Macaca fascicularis: one gene and its partners. The protein of the gene in region 2 binds, or shares a complex with, the protein of the main gene of each other region. Links are inferred from orthologs where the notes say so. Each region holds a gene or a part of one and is shown on either strand. Other genes may lie near its edges.

What was found.
Region 1: the proteins of SART3 (region 2) and USP15 are in contact, whole or in part, in a crystal structure (PDB 5JJW), measured with the Homo sapiens proteins. The link is inferred for Macaca fascicularis from reciprocal best matches to the Homo sapiens genes SART3 and USP15. Residues at the interface, in NP_055521.1 of Homo sapiens: Ser438, Ser439, Lys440, Glu443, Gln490, Arg493, Glu494, Trp496, Asp497, Met500, Thr501, Ala505, Trp511, Tyr514, Arg533, Cys537; in NP_001239007.1 of Homo sapiens: Ser23, Leu24, Asp48, Trp50, Gly121, Met122, Phe123, Val124, Lys125, His126, Lys128.
Region 3: the proteins of SART3 (region 2) and USP4 are in contact, whole or in part, in a crystal structure (PDB 5CTR), measured with the Homo sapiens proteins. The link is inferred for Macaca fascicularis from reciprocal best matches to the Homo sapiens genes SART3 and USP4. Residues at the interface, in NP_055521.1 of Homo sapiens: Asp437, Ser438, Ser439, Lys440, Gln490, Arg493, Glu494, Trp496, Asp497, Met500, Thr501, Ala505, Trp511, Tyr514, Lys529, Arg533, Cys537; in NP_003354.2 of Homo sapiens: Met24, Thr27, Leu28, Ser53, Trp54, Glu123, Gly125, Leu126, Phe127, Val128, Lys129, His130, Cys131, Lys132.

The regions. Positions count from the first base shown.
Region 1 is NC_088385.1:69,321,054-69,327,034, forward strand, and holds part of USP15 (ubiquitin carboxyl-terminal hydrolase 15), read left to right. Parts: intron 1-3,680; coding exon 3,681-3,764; intron 3,765-3,854; coding exon 3,855-3,949; intron 3,950-4,047; coding exon 4,048-4,239; intron 4,240-5,108; coding exon 5,109-5,224; intron 5,225-5,401; coding exon 5,402-5,674; intron 5,675-5,981. UniProt on the Homo sapiens protein: Hydrolase that removes conjugated ubiquitin from target proteins and regulates various pathways such as the TGF-beta receptor signaling, NF-kappa-B and RNF41/NRDP1-PRKN pathways.
Region 2 is NC_088385.1:115,380,906-115,386,886, forward strand, and holds part of SART3 (squamous cell carcinoma antigen recognized by T-cells 3), read right to left. Parts: intron 5,641-5,981; coding exon 5,514-5,640; intron 4,420-5,513; coding exon 4,315-4,419; intron 1,427-4,314; coding exon 1,242-1,426; intron 632-1,241; coding exon 526-631; intron 1-525. UniProt on the Homo sapiens protein: U6 snRNP-binding protein that functions as a recycling factor of the splicing machinery. Promotes the initial reassembly of U4 and U6 snRNPs following their ejection from the spliceosome during its maturation.
Region 3 is NC_088376.1:112,332,579-112,339,287, forward strand, and holds the start of USP4 (ubiquitin carboxyl-terminal hydrolase 4), read right to left. Parts: upstream 4,090-6,709; 5' UTR 4,061-4,089; coding exon 3,960-4,060; intron 1-3,959.

The DNA of each region.
Region 1 (5,981 bases), about 46 Mb from region 2:
AATGGTGAAAAACTATAACAGTGCCAAACCACATCCTTACCTCTCTAGTTTGTAACTTTGCAAATATACACCAATGAGTGTAATGGAGCAAGAGAGCATAGAATAATGAGTATAAATTTACTGCAACAAAAAATAAATGTAGATATTTTATTCCTCTAAAGCACATTTGTTAGAGATAATATTCTCCCATGCCAATAATATAAGTAATCTATATCATAATAGTGGCAAATTGCATTAATTTACACATTAGTCCATAAGGTATATGATAAGTACTCTTCCATAAATTGGGCTCGAAATTATTTTTCCAGCAATGTGAATTTCATTGACTTACCACTTTTCTCATTTGGTGACCAATGATATAAATTTGTGGAAGTTAGAGCCATGGTTAGCACAGAGAAATTCGGTTGTTTTGTGTTTTGTTTTTTTGTTTTTTTTCTTTTTTCCATTTAGAGGCAGTACCAACTCAAATACAGAATGATCACTTGCTTTAACCAGTTCGTGAGGAAAGTGAAATTAGCTGAGTTTGCCTATTTGTTGAGTTTTCCCATCACTGAAGTTGATTTAGGTCATGGAAGCTTATTAGGAAAAATGTTGAATGTGTATTATGTCTTGGGCTCTCATGCTGTGCAAGGTGCTAGAAATACAATGGTGTTTCTAGTCCTTGTTCTTCAAGAAGCTTGTCATACAGTGTGAAAATTGCTCTGACAGGGTGCTGCAAGAAAACACAGAAAGAGTAACCTACCCAAACTAGTTATGAGGCCTGTGATGAATTCTGAAGGACAATTAGGTTATAAGCAGGGGAAAACTAGAAATAAAAGCATTATAGGGCAAGATAGTGGCATGTAGAAAGAACTTATGGCAAAAGAGGACATGGCCCACTTCTGTAGTCTACAAGTATGGCAAGCAGGAGCTAGATCACAAAGAACTTTGATGCCAGTATAAGAAGTTTGAACTTCATCCTAAAAACTAGGGAAGCCATTAAAGACTATTAAGTATAGATATTATATGGCCAGAATTGTGTTTGAGAAAGATGATTCTGGCTAGCACAGAGATTGGTTAGAAAAGGCTTAGCACTAAGACCAGATAAGAAGCTTTTAGTGATCAGACGACAGACAAATGACAAACGCTTCAGCTCAGAAAATGAGTGTCAGGATGGCAGTTTGAAGAACCAGTTGAATGTGGGAAGTGAAAATGTATGAGTATATTCAAAGATGATGCCAAGTTTACTTGACAGGAAAAGAGGAGACAGCAGTGCTGTTTTAGTGGAATATATAGGAAGAACAAGTTGAAGAAGGAATCGATTTTCGTATTGAGCATGGTGGCCTAACATGACCCAATCCTGTGTTTAGCATTGGACATGCTGACTTATAGATGCATGAGAACACTTAGGTAGAGATATCCAGTAGGCAATGAATTTGTGTATCTAGACCAAAGGAGAGAGACTGCTTTAGATGTAAATTGGGCAATGAGCTCTATGAAAATGATAGTCAGTGTTTTAGAAGAATGAGATTACTTAAGGCTAAGGTGACCCTGTGATTTATCATCTAAACAAGAACTCTTTTGAAAATAGAAGGGACTGTCATTAATAATTATACTAGGATATCAGGCTAATCCAGGACTGGCCAAAGCAAATCAGGAGATACTGTCACCTCATCCAGGGAGAGCATATAAAATTGAGAAGAAGGCTAAAGACAAAACTCTAAAGAACACTATAGGAGAACTTCAAAAGGAGAATATGATCATAGCAATAGAAAAGAATTAAGAAATAGTCGTGTTATAAGGAAAGGGAATTTCTTAAGGAGAAAGTGGTCAGCAGTCATATTACAAAGAGGTCAATAAAATAAAGACTGATAAGTTGTAAACAGTATTGGCAGCCTTGGAAACAAGTTAAATAAAGAGGTGAAGACAAGCCAGCAAGAGGGTTGAGAAGTAAATGTGATAAGGAAATTATAATATAGATACCATTAATAAAGTTATTTATAAAATAGAGGAAAAGGGGAGATAATTAGAGGGAAAGCAATGAGGGACGCTTGTTTTTTGAGAGACTTTATATTCCAGTGCTTATGCAAGAGTCAAGATAAAATGGAAGAAAGAATAATTGCTGGGTTTAGGTCCCAGAGAAAGCAGAAGAGCATGGGATTTAGAGCATAGATGCTAGGGTTAGCCTTGAATAAGAAAAGAGACACCTGTCTTCCCATGTGTTGCAAGAGACAAAAAAGTACCTATATGTATTCAAAGAAGTTAGTAGGAGAACAGGAAGTTGGAGATTTTCCCACCCAGTAGCTTCTGTTTTTGAGGTAAAATAGGTATTCTGCTGATATTAAGGGAGCAGTAGTGAAATAGGAAGCCTAAAGAATGGTGAAGTTTTTTTGTTTTTTTGTTTGTTTATTTGTTTTTGAGGCGGGGTCTTGCTCTGTCACCCAAGTTGGAGTGCAGTACGGTGTGATCTCAGCTCTCGCTCACTGCAACCTCTGCCTCCTGGGCTCAAGGGATTCTCCCACCTCAGACTCCCAAGTAGCTGGGACTACAGGTGTGTGCCTCCATGCCCAGCTAATTTTTTGTATTTTTGTAGCAACGGGGTTTTGCCATGTTGTCCAGGCTAGTCTCGAACTTCTTGGGCTTAAGCGATTCACCCGCCTTGACCTCCCAAAGTGTTGGGATTATAGGCGTGAGCCACTGCACCCAGTCCGATGAAGATTTTAAATAGTTATTGAGATAAATGAGAGAATAAGCAGATGTGTGATATGCAGAATTATTTCTGGGTACTGTCAAAGGGTCGGTTGAGATTGGGCACTGTGAATTTGTAGCACACCAACCTCTAAAATTGAGAAATTTTCTCCAGCACATATGAACAGCTCTGAGAAAGTTTAGCAAGAGTGGAATGAATAGAATTGAGTAACAAAGACATTAAAGGTTCGCGATAAAGCATGTAGGGCCTGGGTGGAAGGGCAAGAAGACAGTAGGGAGCTGGTAAACTGGGAGAAAACAGAGTTAAAAGGAATAGAAATCTCTGTGCAAGCCAAGAAGAGAGAAGAATGAATTTCCAGAAGTAAGAAGTAGCGGTTAGACAGTAGCCTGTTAGTTTAAGATAGTAAAAGTGGGGCTGGGTGCAGTGGCTGACTCCTGTAATCCCAGCATTTTGGGAGACTGAAGCAGAAGGATCACTTGAATCCAGGATTTTGAGACCATTCTGGGCAACATAATGAGACCTCGTCTCTAAAAAATAAAAATTAGCCACTCATGGTGGCACACGCCTGTAGTCCTAGCTACGCAGGAGGCTGAATTGGGAAGATGGCTTGAGCCTGGGAGGTTGAGGCTGCAGTGAGCCAAGATCATGCCCTGTACTCCAGCCTGGGTAACAGAGTGAGAGCCTGTCTCTAAAAAACAAACAAAAAAACATAGCAAAAGTGGGAGCAGTTTCAAGTGATGACAGGATCTAATAAGTTGACTAAGGTTGATTAATGCAAATGTCTTTGAATTGAGGAACCAAGGAATGATAAGACTAGGACAAATTATCCATGTGGACATTGTCACCCAGGACCCAGGATGGTGGCAAGATTAGAAACAAACACTGAGCCAAATGCCAAATGAATGTGAGGTAGCAACCATGAGGTCACTCTCATTTACTGAATTTTTTTTCCAAAGTAACAAATTTATTACAATTCTTTTTTGTTTTTTAGTACAAAGTGGTTGTCCCCAAAATTGGAAATATATTAGATCTTTGTACAGCATTGTCTGCTTTGTCAGGAATACCTGCAGATAAGGTAAGATGTTTCTGGGGTTGAAGTATATAAGTTGGTATTTAGTTTCTTAGTGTTGTAAAACCAGCTTAATAGAAATTTATTTCCTTTTAGATGATAGTTACTGATATATACAATCATAGATTTCACAGAATATTCGCTATGGATGAAAACCTTAGTAGTATTATGGAACGGGATGATATTTATGTGTAAGTATAAAACTCATTGTGCAAAATATTACTTGAAAAAAAAATCAAAAGAAGTAACCTAAAATTTTGAGAGTTTATGGTCAGTTTTGTCCTTGTAGGTTTGAAATTAACATCAATAGGACAGAAGATACAGAGCATGTGATTATTCCTGTTTGCCTAAGAGAAAAATTCAGACACTCAAGTTATACCCACCATACTGGTTCTTCACTTTTTGGTCAGCCTTTTCTTATGGCTGTACCACGAAACAATACTGAAGACAAACTTTATAATCTCCTGCTCTTGAGAATGTGGTAAGTGCCAAACAATTCTACATTGACAAAATAAATATGGGAATAAAATATAAAATAGCTAATAAAAATAAACACACAAGGTACTATCAGAATATAATTATACAAGTCTGTATTGTCTCAGTTTTGTTTATAGTCAGATTATAGTCCTAATCCACTTTCTTATTCACGTAAAACACATTATGGAGGTAATTTCAAACCCAGGAAGCATGAAGTCTGTAGCAATTTTAGGCCAAAAGTTTACAGTTGGAAGGAAATAGGAATTTATGTTATAATAATTATGTGTTACATGTTTGTTCTGTGAAATCATAACAAATGTCAAATGCTATATGTTTGCACTGTGAAATGACAAATGTCAAATGCTTCATTTCTTTATATACATTACCAATTCATGATTAATAGTATTGTAAGGCAGCCTATTTTTTGCCTTCCTAAATCCCCTTATTTGAATTATAAAGTTATCAAGAATGTCATTTGATCCCTTTTATCTTTGAAAGCTGATATATTTAGTATTCTTTCTTGCATATCTAATTATTATGGTTTCATAACCCATATGTAAAGATCACATTATACAAAAATAAGTGTTTTTAGCAACAATATATACCATCTAAATGAGGATAAGTTGAGAAATTATTTGCAACAAATATTTAACATTTAACCTAAAAGGTAACGTACTAATTATTTTTATAAAGAGGAGCAAAACAAATTATTAGTCAGCTATATGTATGGTACTGTAAGTTTGATTTTAACCTTGAATCTACTAAGTGACCACTGTTACATTAAAAAGTTTTGTTTTACTGATAGAATGAAAACATTTTTAAAGTTTTTATCTTTGTAGTACTGAACTTGTTTGATTTCTGATTTTACTTAAGCCGATATGTCAAAATATCTACTGAAACTGAAGAAACTGAAGGATCCCTACACTGCTGTAAGGACCAAAATATTAATGGGAATGGCCCAAATGGCATACATGAAGAAGGCTCACCAAGTAAGACTTTTCTGTTAAATTATAAAAATGTTTCACTTAAATAATTGCTTCAGAGAGAAAGTTAAGAAAATGGGAATTAAAGAGCTAAAAAATACCTGCAAACCTACGACTAATAATATTAATAATTTAAAAATATAACATTGAGTTTATTTAAAGTTCTCTAATATCTAAAATTAGGTGAAATGGAAACAGATGAGCCAGATGATGAATCCAGCCAGGATCAAGAACTTCCCTCAGAGAATGAAAACAGTCAGTCTGAAGATTCAGTTGGAGGAGATAATGATTCTGAAAATGGATTATGTACTGAGGACACTTGCAAAGGTCAACTCACGGGACACAAAAAACGATTGTTTACATTCCAGTTCAACAACTTAGGCAATACTGATATCAACTACATCAAAGATGATACCAGACATATAAGATTTGATGATAGGCAGCTTAGGCTAGATGGTAAGTATTTGTGAAAAATGGCTTGAACATTAAACAAGCAGAGCATGTTTTTTTGTTTTTTAGGTGAAAACCATGAAATTCAGCCCTGTCAAGAAATACACCATTTACTTTTCTATCTCAAATTTTATATGAAAGGACTTAATATCTAAGTAGACCAAAATGTGTGTCTGTGTTTCATAAATGGAGATTGAATTCATGCTTAAGTTTTCTATCTTTTTTTAAACTTTTAAATTATTTCAATGGCTTGGAAACTGCTATTTGCCCTAATCACCTGTACAAGTAGAAAAGATTGCTATTTATTTATTCT
Region 2 (5,981 bases):
ATGTATTTACAAAATAAGGAAACTCTTTACCAACCCCCAAGAAACTCACTTATGAGTACTTCCAATCAACTGCACTTCTGAACGAAATCCCTCCCACAGAGGAATGATCTAAACCCACGCAAAATTCCTGCTGTTACGGAAGAGGTTACTTATGAAGAGAAAATGATTATAATGGAACTCTTGTTCAATGACGTTTCCCCCAAAAATACCGGTGTCATTCACTATTCCTTTCAGAGACCCTATCTCTGCCTTTCCAGCTAGGTCTCAAAGGAGAAAAGAGCTCTCACCTAGGAGTCAGGGAGTCTGGCTTCCAGTCCTGCTTCTGACCCTCACAACCCTCTTAAGCACTAACATTCAAGATGTTTTTACCTAGGACCTCATCCCGAGAGACAATATCCAAGGACAGTAAGAACACAAGCTTTACCTGCCTCACAGGATGGTGGGAAAGGTCTAACTACATGTCATTCCCCCAAAGTATTTTAAAAACCATAGAGGGCTGGCTATTGACATGTCAGTTTCTCTTACCATAGAGTGGGATCGCCAACTGTCGCCGGAAAAGACTGTGGACTTTCTCAAGCTGTGAATCAAAGGTTTGTTCCCGGTCAAAAGGGGAAAGGAAGCCAGCTACGGGCTAAAGAAGCAAATTAGTAGTAAATAACAAACTGTGGTTCTTTCTTTGTTTTTTCTTTTGAGAAGGGTTCTCACTGTCACCCTGGCTGGAGTGCGGTGGTGTGATCACAGCTCACTACAGCCTCATGCTCCAGGCTCATGCAATCCTCCCACCTCAGAGTCCTGAGTAGCTAGGATCATAGGCATATGCCATCACGCCCAGCTAATGTTTTATGTTTTGTAGAGATGGGGTCTCACTATATTGCCCAGGCTGGTCTTGCACTCCTGAACTCAAGAGATCATCTGGCCTCAGCCTCCCAAACTGCTGGGATTACAAGCATGAGCCACCGTACTTGGCCAACTCTGGTTCTTTCTACTTCAAAAAGTATCTCAACAAATTTTCAGTTCAAGCTAAAAAAATGTATACGACCTCTTCCATACATATTGAACCAAATGCTACAAGGGGTATAAAAAAGGTTATCTATCACCCAACCACTAAGGGATTGGCAAAGACCATTTTGTTAACTATATGAACTGCAAGATTCATCCTGGACATGTGTTTCAAAATAATCCTTCCAAGGAGACTTACAAAGACAGCCCCAGCCTGTTCAGAGACAACCACAGGTACTCACCCGAGCAGCTTCCACGATTGCACTTTCAAACTCTCGGTAAGCCTCCCAAAGGGCGAGTCCTTTGGTCATATGCAAACCAACAGACGAGAGAGCCCTTTCAAACACGGAGCGAACTTTCTCAAGGCCACCTTTCTGACCAATCCCACCAACTGAGTACTGGCCATACTCTAGCCAAATGTTAGGACCTAAAAATAAGAAGTGTTCAATTAGTTTGGGGTATAAAATACCCAAATATCAAAACTGATGCAAAACAAAAGAAATGTGCCTACCAAAAAAGTTCTCAGACAGCAGCACTAAATGACAGTGAAGGCCTAACAGCAGAGATGACCATAAAGGACCAAAAAACATTACAGTCTGGGGAAGACCATAGATCCTCAGAAAAAGATAACTGGTGCTATTAACAATGGCTGTGAGAGAGAAAGAAGTGGGTAACAGGATCATCAGAAATCATGGGAACACCATGCACTGCTAAAATTATCAGTGGTTCTAAAAGAAGACTCATGGGCCACAGAGCAGAGGTACAGATATAGTTTTTAAAAATACATTTGGCCAGGTGCAGTGGCTCACACCTATAATCCCAGCATTTTGGGAGACTGAGGCGGGAAGATCACAAGGTCAGGAGTTCGAGACCAGCCTGGCCAATATGGTGAAACCCCGTCTCTACTAAAAATACAAAAATTAGCCGGGCGTTGTGGCAGGCACCTGTAGTCCCAGCTACTTGGGAGGCTGAGGCAGGAAAATCGCTTGAACTCAGGTGAGGGGGAGGTTGCAGCGAGCCGAGATCACACCACTGCCCTCCAGCCTGAGAGCGAGACTCTCAAAAAAGAAAAAAAAGATAACACACACACACACACACACATACTATACTTGTATATTCATAAAACACCTCTTATTTTCATTATACAGATTATAAACCAAAAAATTGTGAATTCTTTTTGGCTTGCAAAGATACACAAAAAATTCTCTATCTCAGAACAGTCTATATGGTAAGCAGCAATGCTTCTCACAAGAGGGACTGCTCCCAGTGGGAAATCAACAAGGAAGAGGATATGAAATCTGAAAGGGGAAATTGTTTGTTTGATTTTTGAGACAGAGTCTCATTCTGTCACCCAGGCTAGAGTGCAGAGGCATGATCTCAGCTCACTGCACCCTCCGCCTCCTGGGTTCAAGTGATTCTCCTGCCTCAGCCTCCCGAGTAGCTGGGACAACAGGTGTGTGCCACCACGCCTGGCTAGTTTTTTGTATTTTTAGTAGAGATGGGGTTTCACTGTGTTAGCCAGGATGGTCTCAAACTCCTGAACTCGAGATCCACCTGCCTCAGCCTCCCGAAGTTCTGGGATTACAGGCGTGAGCCACCACCCCCAGTCTGAAAGGGGAAATTTTTAGAATGCCTTTTTTTTTTTTTTTCTTCTGAGACAGAGTCTCACTTTGTCACCCAGGCTGGAGTACAGTGGCATAATCTTGGTCCACTGCAACCTCTGCCTCCTGGGTTCAAGCAATTTTCATGCCTCAGCCACCTGAGTAGCTGGGATTACAGGCCTACATGCCACCACACCCAGCTAATTGTATTTTTAGTGGAGATGGGGTTTCCCCATGCTGGGCAGGCTGATTTCAAACTCCTGGGCTCAAGTGAGCTGCCTGCCTTGATCTCCCAAATTGCTGGGATTACAGGCATAAGCTACCAAGCCTGACCTTAAAATGCTTTCTTCTGAGACAGAATCTCACTCTGTTGCCCAGGCTGGAGTGTAGTAGCACAACCTCAGCTCACTGCAACCTCCACCTCCTCAGTTCAAGCAATTCTCCTGCCTCAGCCTCCTGAGTAGCTGAGATTACAAGCACGTGCCACCATGCCTGGCTAATTCTTGTATTTTTAGCAGAGATGGGGTTTTGCCATGTTGGCCAGGCTGGTCTTGAGCTCCCAATGTCAAGTGACCACCAGCCTCGGTCTCCCAAAGTTCTGGGATTACAGGTGTGAGCCACCACGCCCAGCCTTAAAACGCTTTTTAATAGCATTTTGTCCACAGCATTGTCTGATGTGGTCCCCAGTTCACATACAGAAAATATTTAAGACACTTATACTATATACAGGGCACAGTAAAGAGACTTAAAGGGAGGTGAGTCTTCTATACTCCACTTGCACCGGTAAGATGTCAATACCAGCAGGCAAGGGAGGTCTCTGTGGGGACAGAACGATTCTGTATCTGGACTGCAGCAGTGGTTAGATGAATCTACACATGTAATAAAATGTCTTTTTTTCCCATTGTTCCAAGGTCAATTTCCTGGTTGTTGTTCTTTTTTTTTTTTTTTTTTTTGAGACGGAGTCTCGCTCTGTCGCCCAGGCTGGAGTGCAGTGGCCGGATCTCAGCTCACTGCAAGCTCCGCCTCCCAGGTTTAAGCCATTCTCCTGCCTCAGCCTCCCGAGTAGCTGGGACTACAGGCGCCCGCCACCTCGCCCGGCTAGTTTTTTGTATTTTTAGTAGAGACGGGGTTTCACCGTGTTAGCCAGGATGGTCTTGATCTCCTGACCTCGTGATCCGCCCGTCTCGGCCTCCCAAAGTGCTGGGATTACAGGCTTGAGCCACCGCGCCCGGCAATTTCCTGGTTTTGATTTTGTACTACAGAAACAAGATATTGGAGGAAACTGGGTAAAGTGAGTACACAAGACTTCTCTGTACTATTTCTGCAACTTCCTATACTCTATAATTACTTCAAAATAAAAAGGTTTTCTTTTAATGTTTTCATCTTTTTTTTTTAAAGCATCTTGTCCAAAACCTCTAAAACCCTATTCAATGTATAAAAGATCACCAGGAAATGCCATGTAAGCTCTGTCAGTACATCCTGAGTGTGAGTGTACTCATTCCCTTACTGCAAGCGCTTCTTCCACTTTTATTTTAAAACTACACTTCCTCAATTAAAGAACAAAGACAATGACAAGACGATTGAACTTAAATCTTGCTAATTGTTAGACTAAAGTTCCCTTTTCTGGGTAGCAGCATCTCATAATACAGTCCTCAACAGCAGACTGATCTACATGACATTTTCAGATACCCTAAAAAAGTCCACGGGAACTTACAAATGTAATCCTTCACAGCTTTCTCAAAGAGGTCATACACATGCTCTCTGTCCAGGCCGTCCTGGGCCATGCTGATCTCGTCGTGCAGCCACTCCAGCCAGAGCTCTACGAGACAAGAGTACTTCCCGCATTAATACCAAAGGGGAGGCTGAGAGCAGGGACTTTACCAAGAAACATCAGCACGCCAATGCTTCATCCATCTTACACAACCTGGCATTGTTCCAGAAATTCACTTCTTAAAACCTGAACTAAGCACATAGGAGATTTTATGCTTCCAAATAAGATCAAATCACTAAAATCATAACATCCTCTACTTGTTAGGCATTTCATATTTGGCAAAGCACTTTTCTCATTCAGTCTTTATCATAATCCTGTAAGGTTGGTGATAGTAACACTAAAAATAATGACATCTATTTAAGGATTACAACATGCCAGGCATGTGTTAAGTGTTATAGGTAGAATAGCTCATCCTATTCTGTCATACATTACAAGGCAGAAACTACTGCTGCCATCATTTAACTGCTAGAAAAACTGAGTCTCAGAATGTTTACATAATCTGCTTAAGGTCACACAGATAGTAAACGATGTAGCCAGGAATGAATCTAGGTCATCTGACTCTAGCATCTACACTCAGCAGTTATGCTTTGCAGAAGGGAAAAGGGGCAGAGTGGGATCTAGGACCAAAGTGTCCTAAGCACTGCCCAAAAGATCACTTATGAATATTCATGAAGACTAAAGAGTTGTTCAGTGCAATTATGTTTCTAATACGCAAATAAGTAGAAATAACCTAAATGCCCAACTATTCTGGAACAATTAATGTATGAAACATTTACATAAAAAGCTGTCTGTAAAAGTTTAAATATATTTACAATTTTCTGGTTTCAAGAGAATGGATTAAATACATAAATACTGAAATGGGAAATAGAAATGGGATTCAAGTTTAATCACATTACAAATGTTTACCATAACGTTATAATTAAAAAATCAGAATTCAAAATCCGTGTTATATGATCATAACTACATTTTGCAAAAAACTACAAGATAATAAACTAAAAATAGCTAACTCTGATGGGTTTTCTTCTTTCTACTACACTGTATGTTCCAGGTTTTCTACAAGGAGCATGTCCCACTTTCAACAATGAAACAAATATACAAGCCTTGTTTCTGTTTCTAAAAGCAGCCTGACTGCTGAAGCTTACCTTCAGTCAAGGGAAAGATCTCACTCATCTTCTGGCGGGCCATCCTCACCTTGGTAAGCTCCCCTTCCAGCCGGAGCAGCCTGATCAAGTCCACGTGGCAGTTATAGTCATAGACGTTGATAGACAACTAACAGGAAAAGAAACAAGTTGAAATTTAAAATGCCATCATCAAGTAACTTAGCTTTTGTCACTACTGGTAACTACACACATACCTGCCACAAACAAAATAAATGTGCTATCTGAGAAAACCACTGAAACAGCAACCCAGCGTGTACCCACAGGCAGAAGACAAAACAATAAAAGAGGCTTTTGAAACAAACATAAAGCTCCCTCAAATCTGTTACAGTTCCTGCTAGAAGCCATCAGGGTTCTCTCGGAAATAAAGGAGGCATTCTAATGAAACAAATAAAAAGTATGTGACCTCAGGTAAGTTATTTACTTTCCTAAGCCTCTATTTCCTCATCTATA
Region 3 (6,709 bases), on a different chromosome or scaffold from region 2:
GAACAGCACTAAACTAATGCTCTTTCTGAAAATGGGTTAGAAACACCATCCACTTGTTTTCTTTTAAGGACCAAATGAGTTCCAAAAATGTACACACAAGGCCAGGCACAGTGGCTCACACCTATAATCCCAACACTTTGGGAGGCTGAGGCGGATGGTCACTTGAGCTCAGGAGTTCAAGACCAGCCTGGGCAACAAACCCCATCTACTAAAAATACAAAAATTAGCTGAGTGTGGTGGCACATGCCTATAGTCCCAGCTGCTCGGGAGGCTGAGGCACAAGAATCACTTGAACCCGCGAGACAGAAGTTGCAATGAGCTGAGATCACGCCATTGCATTCTAGCCTGGGTGACAGGAATAAAAACCTGTCTCAAAAAAAAAAGTATATAACATGCGTGTACATATATAAATATACACATACACATGTACATATAATAGCACTTAGGTATGTTCATCTTGTCAAAAAGCATTAAGTTGTGCTTCATATTCAACTTACCACTTTTTTTTTTTTTTTTTTTTTTTTTTTTTTGAGACGGAGTCTCGCTACCGCCCAGGCTGGAGTGCAGTGGCCGGATCTCAGCTCACTGCAAGCTCCGCCTCTCGGGTTTACGCCATTCTCCTGCCTCAGCCTCCCGAGCAGTTGGGACTACAGGCGCCCACCACCTCGCCCGGCTAGTTTTTTGTATTTTTTTAGTAGAGACGGGGTTTCACCGTGTTAGCCAGGATGGTCTCGATCTCCTGACCTCGTGATCCGCCCGTCTCGGCCTCCCAAAGTGCTGGGACTACAGGCTTGAGCCACCGCGCCCGGCCAACTTACCACTTTTTTACTTAAATGTAAGCAAATGTGGTATTTTATTTATCTATTTATTTCCTTAGAGAGAGGGTCACCCAGGCTAGAGTGCAGTGGCACAATCATAGCTCTCTGTAGCCTCAAACTCCTGGGCTCAAGTGATCCTCCTGCCTCAGCCTCTGAGTAGCTATGACTATAGGTACATACCACCATGCCTGGCTAATTTATTTTTATATTTTTATTTTGTAGAGGCTAGGTCTTGCTATGTTGCCCAGGCTGATCTTGAACTCCTGGCCTCAAGTGATCTTCCTGCTTCAGCCTCCCAAAGTGCTGGGATTACAGACCTGAGACATTGTGCCAGACCTATTTATATTTTTAAAGTATCATTATGCTGGCTGGGAGAGGTGGCTCATGTCTGTAATCCCAACACTTTGGGAGGCTGAGGCAGGTGGATCACGAGGTCAGGAGATCAAGACCATCCTGGCCAACATGGTGAAACCCCGTCTCTACTAAAAACACAAAAATTAGCCAGGCGCGGTGGCTCAAGCCTGTAATCCCAGCACTGTGGGAGGCTGAGACGGGCGGATCACAAGGTCAGGAGATCGAGACCATCCTGGCTAACACAGTGAAACCCCGTCTCTACTAAAAAATACAAAAAGCTAGCCGGGCGCGGTGGCGGGAGCCTGTAGTCCCAGCTACTCGGGAGGCTGAGGCAGGAGAATGGCGTGAACCCGGGAGGCGGAGCTTGCAGTGAGCTGAGATCCGGCCACTGCACTCCAGCCCGGGTGACAGAGCGAGACTCCGTCTCAAAAAAAAATAAATAAATAAAAAAATAAATAAAAACACAAAAATTAGCTGGGCGTGGTGGTGCCTGCCTATAATCTCAGTTACTAGGGAGGCTGAAGCAGGAGAATCGCTTGAACCCGGAAGGCAGAGATTGCAGTGAGCTGAGATCATGCCACTGTACTCCTCCAGCCTGGCAACACAGCAAGACTCCGTCTCAAAAAAAAAAAAAAAAAAAGTATCACTCTGCTGTTTTACAATTTAAACAGAATCTCTGTGGAGCAACAAAGCATCAACAAGTATATTGGTGCATCCTTAAAACTGTATAACCAACAAATGTGAGAGGAGTTCAGGCAACTTCCCAGAGGTCACAAGGATCCATAAACACATCCGTCTCGAAAATGCTATTTTTCTTCCAAATCCCTTGAGCAATACCTTCCATACAATTTTACTGTATGATTTTAGTCTTAAACTTCCTCTGCTTCTGCTGAGTATTCTTTATGAGCCCTATACAGGTTAACTTGAGAAGTACCTCTGCTAGGCCAGGCGTGGTAGCTCTAGCCTATAATCCCAGCACTTTGGGAGGCCAAGGCGGGTGAATCACTTGAGGTCGGGAGTTTGAGACAAGCCTGACCAAAATGGAGAAACCCTGTCTCTACTAAAAATACAAAAAAAATTAGCCGGGCATAGTGGCGCATGCCTGTAATCCTAGCTACTGGGGAGGCTGAGGCAGGAGAATCACTTGAACCCTGGAGGCACAGGTTGCCGTGAGCCGAGATCACGCCATTGCACGCCAGCCTGGGCAACAAGAGCGAAATTCCTCAAAAAAAAAAAAAAAAAAAAAAAAACCCACAAAAAAAGTACCTGTTTACTCTGACTTTCACAAACTGGCTAGCTCAAGGTGAATACATAAGCTGTTATCTGTACTCCTCATAACCCCAATTTTTCTATCCTCCAGCTCAATTCCTCTGTAGGTCATCACCACAATGGTTTCTTTTTTTTTTTTTTTTTTTGAGACGGAGTCTCGCTCTGTCGCCGGGGCTGGAGCGCAGTGGCCGGATCTCAGCTCACTGCAAGCTCCGCCTCCCGGGTTTACGCCATTCTCCTGCCTCAGCCTCCTGTGTAGCTGGGACTACAGGCGCCCGCCACCTCGCCCGGCTAGTTTTTTGTATTTTTTTAGTAGAGACGGGGTTTCACCGTGTTAGCCAGGATGGTCTCGATCTCCTGACCTCGTGATCCGCCCGTCTCGGCCTCCCAAAGTGCTGGGATTACAGGCTTGAGCCACCGCGCCCGGCCCACAATGGTTTCTTAAAGATGGGTAACACTCGGGCCGGGCACGGTGGCTCCCACCTGTAATGGGAGGCAGAGGCGGCTGGATCACAAGGTCAGGAGTTCGAGACCAGCCTGCTCAGCATGGTGAAACCCAGTCTGTACTAAAAATACAAAAAATTAGCTGGGCATGGTGGTGTGAGCCTGTAATCCCAGCTACTTGGGAGGCTGAGGCAGGAGAATCGCTTGAACCCGGGAGGCGGAAGTTGCCGTGAGCCGAGATGGCGCCACTGCACTCCAGCTTGGGCAATAACAGTGAAACTCTGTCTCAAAAAATCAAACAAACAAAAAAACAAGATGGGTAACACTCAATCATACTAAATGCAAAGTCTAGCCTTAGTTTTTGTACTACACAATAATACCACCCAGGAATCTCTCCAGTAGTACAAAGTATTGTCCCCTCCACCAAACAATCTGTTAAGATGCCCAATAACTCAGCCTGGGTCTTCTAAATTCTGGACTCTTCATCTTCTATCTAGCTCCAGGACCTAGGCTATCCCCCTCTCCCACTCCGAGATACTGGTGTCACAAATATTTTTGACACTTGCTACCAAAATAATCTGGGGCTCTCAGACATTTGTTCAGCTTCTGACCTTGACATCTGTTGGCAGTTTACAAGTTACAAAGTACTTCTGATTTTCGCCTCAACCCACTGAGGGCGGAGAGCCAAATATTGCTATCCTGGTTTTAACAGTGAGGAATCCAGGTCTGTGACACCTTCGCCCAAGGTCACACGGCGAGTCCTCATGGTAAAGGGCTCTCCCCACCCTCAGGGTCCCCGCCAACATTCCCCTTCTCCACATCCATCCCCCTAGCCCCCGCCGGGCCCACCCACTGGGGCTCCAAATGAGCCGAGGCGACCCTCAGGCCCCGCCTGCGCTTTCCCAGAGCTGATCCTGGAGTTCTCCCGAGGGGCAGGTGTCAGGCTACTCTTCCAGGGTCACTACATACCATCCCCGCCCAGCCCCTACTGTAGCCGAGAAAAAGGGGGCTGGCCTAAGGGCCAGATACTCGGCCCCTGGTTCTGCACAGAGGAAGAGAGAGCCGGATGCTCACCACTGCGCGCCGCGTTGGAGTGTGGTCCTCATTAAGGCTCCAAGCTCCGACTTCTGAGTCTCCGCATCCGGTCGCTCACCAAAGCCTCCACCTTCCGCCATCTCGTCCGCAGCCCCGGCCCAGCCGGCCCGGACATCCGCCCCGCGCGCGGCGTGCTATAGACCGCGCCCACGCACGCACGCACGCACGCTCGCGTGCCCGCCCCTGCCCCACCTCGTGCCGCGACTTTCGGCTCCTGCAGCCGCTGTCTTTTATCCCCTCCAGTCTCGCGCCACTTCGCTCACCGGCAAACAGTGGAGCGAAAAGGCAGATGCGAGAGGGGTGGGTGGGGAGCAGCAGCTGCTACTTCCTCCCGCCCTGCCGCCTGCTACGCGGTCGTCGGGCGCCCCTTCCTCTGCTCAGGATGGCGCTACAGGATGAAGCTCTGTTCAGCCCGCCGATCTCAGGGAGTCAGACAGCAAGCCCACGACCCATGGGGCACCCTAGCCCGGCCTTCGAGGTTATCCTGGTCCTAAATAAATGCAGGCCAGGTGCGAGAAGCCCCGTAGTTAGGTCTGTTCATTCTCACCCCTGCCATTCCGCTTTCAGCTGGAGGCCTTAGGCGAGTCAGCTGCCCAAACGTGGGATCCGGGCTCCTGCTCCAGCGGCCCTAACAGGGATTTCGGGAAGTACCACGTGCATCAGCGCCTTGGGACTAAGACTGAACGGTGTGCTGTAGTTATTAACAGTCGCCTTAAACAATCTGGACGCCAGAGCCACCTGGCCCACCTGAGAATTCCGTCAGCTCTTCATACTGAGCTACTTGCCAAGCAGCCACAGAGGGGCGATAGCAACAGGGGAAGGAGAGGTATTCCACATTAGTTACCCAGGCATGTACTTAGTTCCTGGAACAAGATACAACGTCCTGAACACTGTGTTTTCCAGTCGCCCCGCTCACACAAACACACAACCCTCTTCCTGGAGGGAGAAATAAACCCAGAGGAAAGAGGAAGTCAGGCCTAGATGAGTCTCCATACACTTGTCTAACAGTTCTTGTCCTCAGAGAAAAATAAGACCTAGTTCCTGCCCTCATAGAATCTAGTGGAAGAGTAGAGATGTTTCAGAAATAACCTCAATGCCTAGCAGTATGTGGTAAGTGCAATTAAAGGGTGTGAACCAGGCCAGGTGCAGTGGTTCAAGCCTGTCGTCCCAGCACTTTGGAAGGCTGAGGCGGGAGGATAGCTTTAGCCCAGGAGTTAGAGACCAGCCTCGGCAACATGGCGAAATCCTGTCTCTACAAAAATTAGCCGGGAGGTGGCGCGCGTCTGTGGTCCCAGGTACTCGGGAGGCTGAGGTAGAAGGATCCCTTGAGCCCAGGAGGTCGAAGTTGCAGTGAGTCGAGATGGTGCCACTTCTCTCGAGACTGGACGGCAAAGTGAGACCCTGTCTCAAAAAAACAGTAAATACAAATAAGGGGTGTGAACCGGCCAGGCGCGGTGGCTCACGCCTGTAATCCTAGCACTTTGGGGGCCCGAGGCCGGCAGATCACCTGAGGTCGGGAGTTCGAGACCAGCCTGACCAACGTGGAGACGGAAATGTCCTCTCAAAAAAAAAAAAAAGTGCTGGGCGCCCGGCAGGGCAGTTCATGCTTGTAATCCCAGGACTTTGGGAGGCCATGGCGGGCAGATCACGAGGTTAGGAGTTCGAGACCAGCATGGCTAATATGGTGAAACCCCATCTCTACCAAAAATACAAAAAAAAGTTAGCCAGGCGTGGTGGCGCATGTCTATAGTCTGAGCTACTCGGGAGGCAGAGGCAGAAGAATTGCTTGAACCCAGGAGGCGGAGGTTGCAGTGAGCCAAGATTGCACCACTGTACTCCAGCCTGAGCGACAGAGTGAGACCCCCTCTAAAAAAAAAAAACAAAAAAGGCCGGGCGCGGTGGCTCAAGCCTGTAATCCCAGCACTTTGGAAGGCCGAGATGGGCGGATCACGAGGTCGGGAGATCGAGACCATCCTGGCGAACACGGTGAAACCCCGTCTCTACTAAAAAAATACAAAAAAACTAGCCGGGCGAGGTGGCGGGCGCCTGTAGTCCCAGCTACTCCGGAGGCTGAGGCAGGAGAATGGCGTAAACCCGGGAGGCGGAGCTTGCAGTGAGCTGAGATCCGGCCACTGCACTCCAGCCTGGGCGACAGAGCCAGACTCCATCTCAAAAAAAAAAAAAAAGGGTGTGAACCAAAGGCTGTAGAACACCAGGCACAACCCCTGCTCTCATAGGAAACCTTTGACTTGAGTAACATTTGGGTGTGGTATTGAAAAAAAATGCTGGCAGAATAAAGATGAGGATGCATGTAACAGGAGGGGAGACTCAAGGGACCAGAAGAGAATTTCTGGAACAGGCAGGACAGTATCAGAGAGTGGGGATTAGGCCAGTTGAGCCGGGCACTACAACACTACTACAACCTAAGGGGATCTAAAGCTAGAAAGGAGGCCAGACAGACCATATATCCTGCCTTAAAAGGCAGGCAGGCATTGTAGGAAGTTTTGGAGCAGAGACAAAATGACTGAGGGTTCTCAGACACAGAACCATTAGGACCCTCTCACTATGGAGGTGGCTGTGAGGGAGAAGAGGAGAAACAGATGAGCCATGTCTATTTTATTTTTTTATTCTTATTTTTCTACCCTATTCCTGTGGAAAAGATGAGCTATGTTTTGTGTCAGGGGTGAAGGAAGGGGAACTGGCCCAGTGAAAATATGGTAGGTCATTTG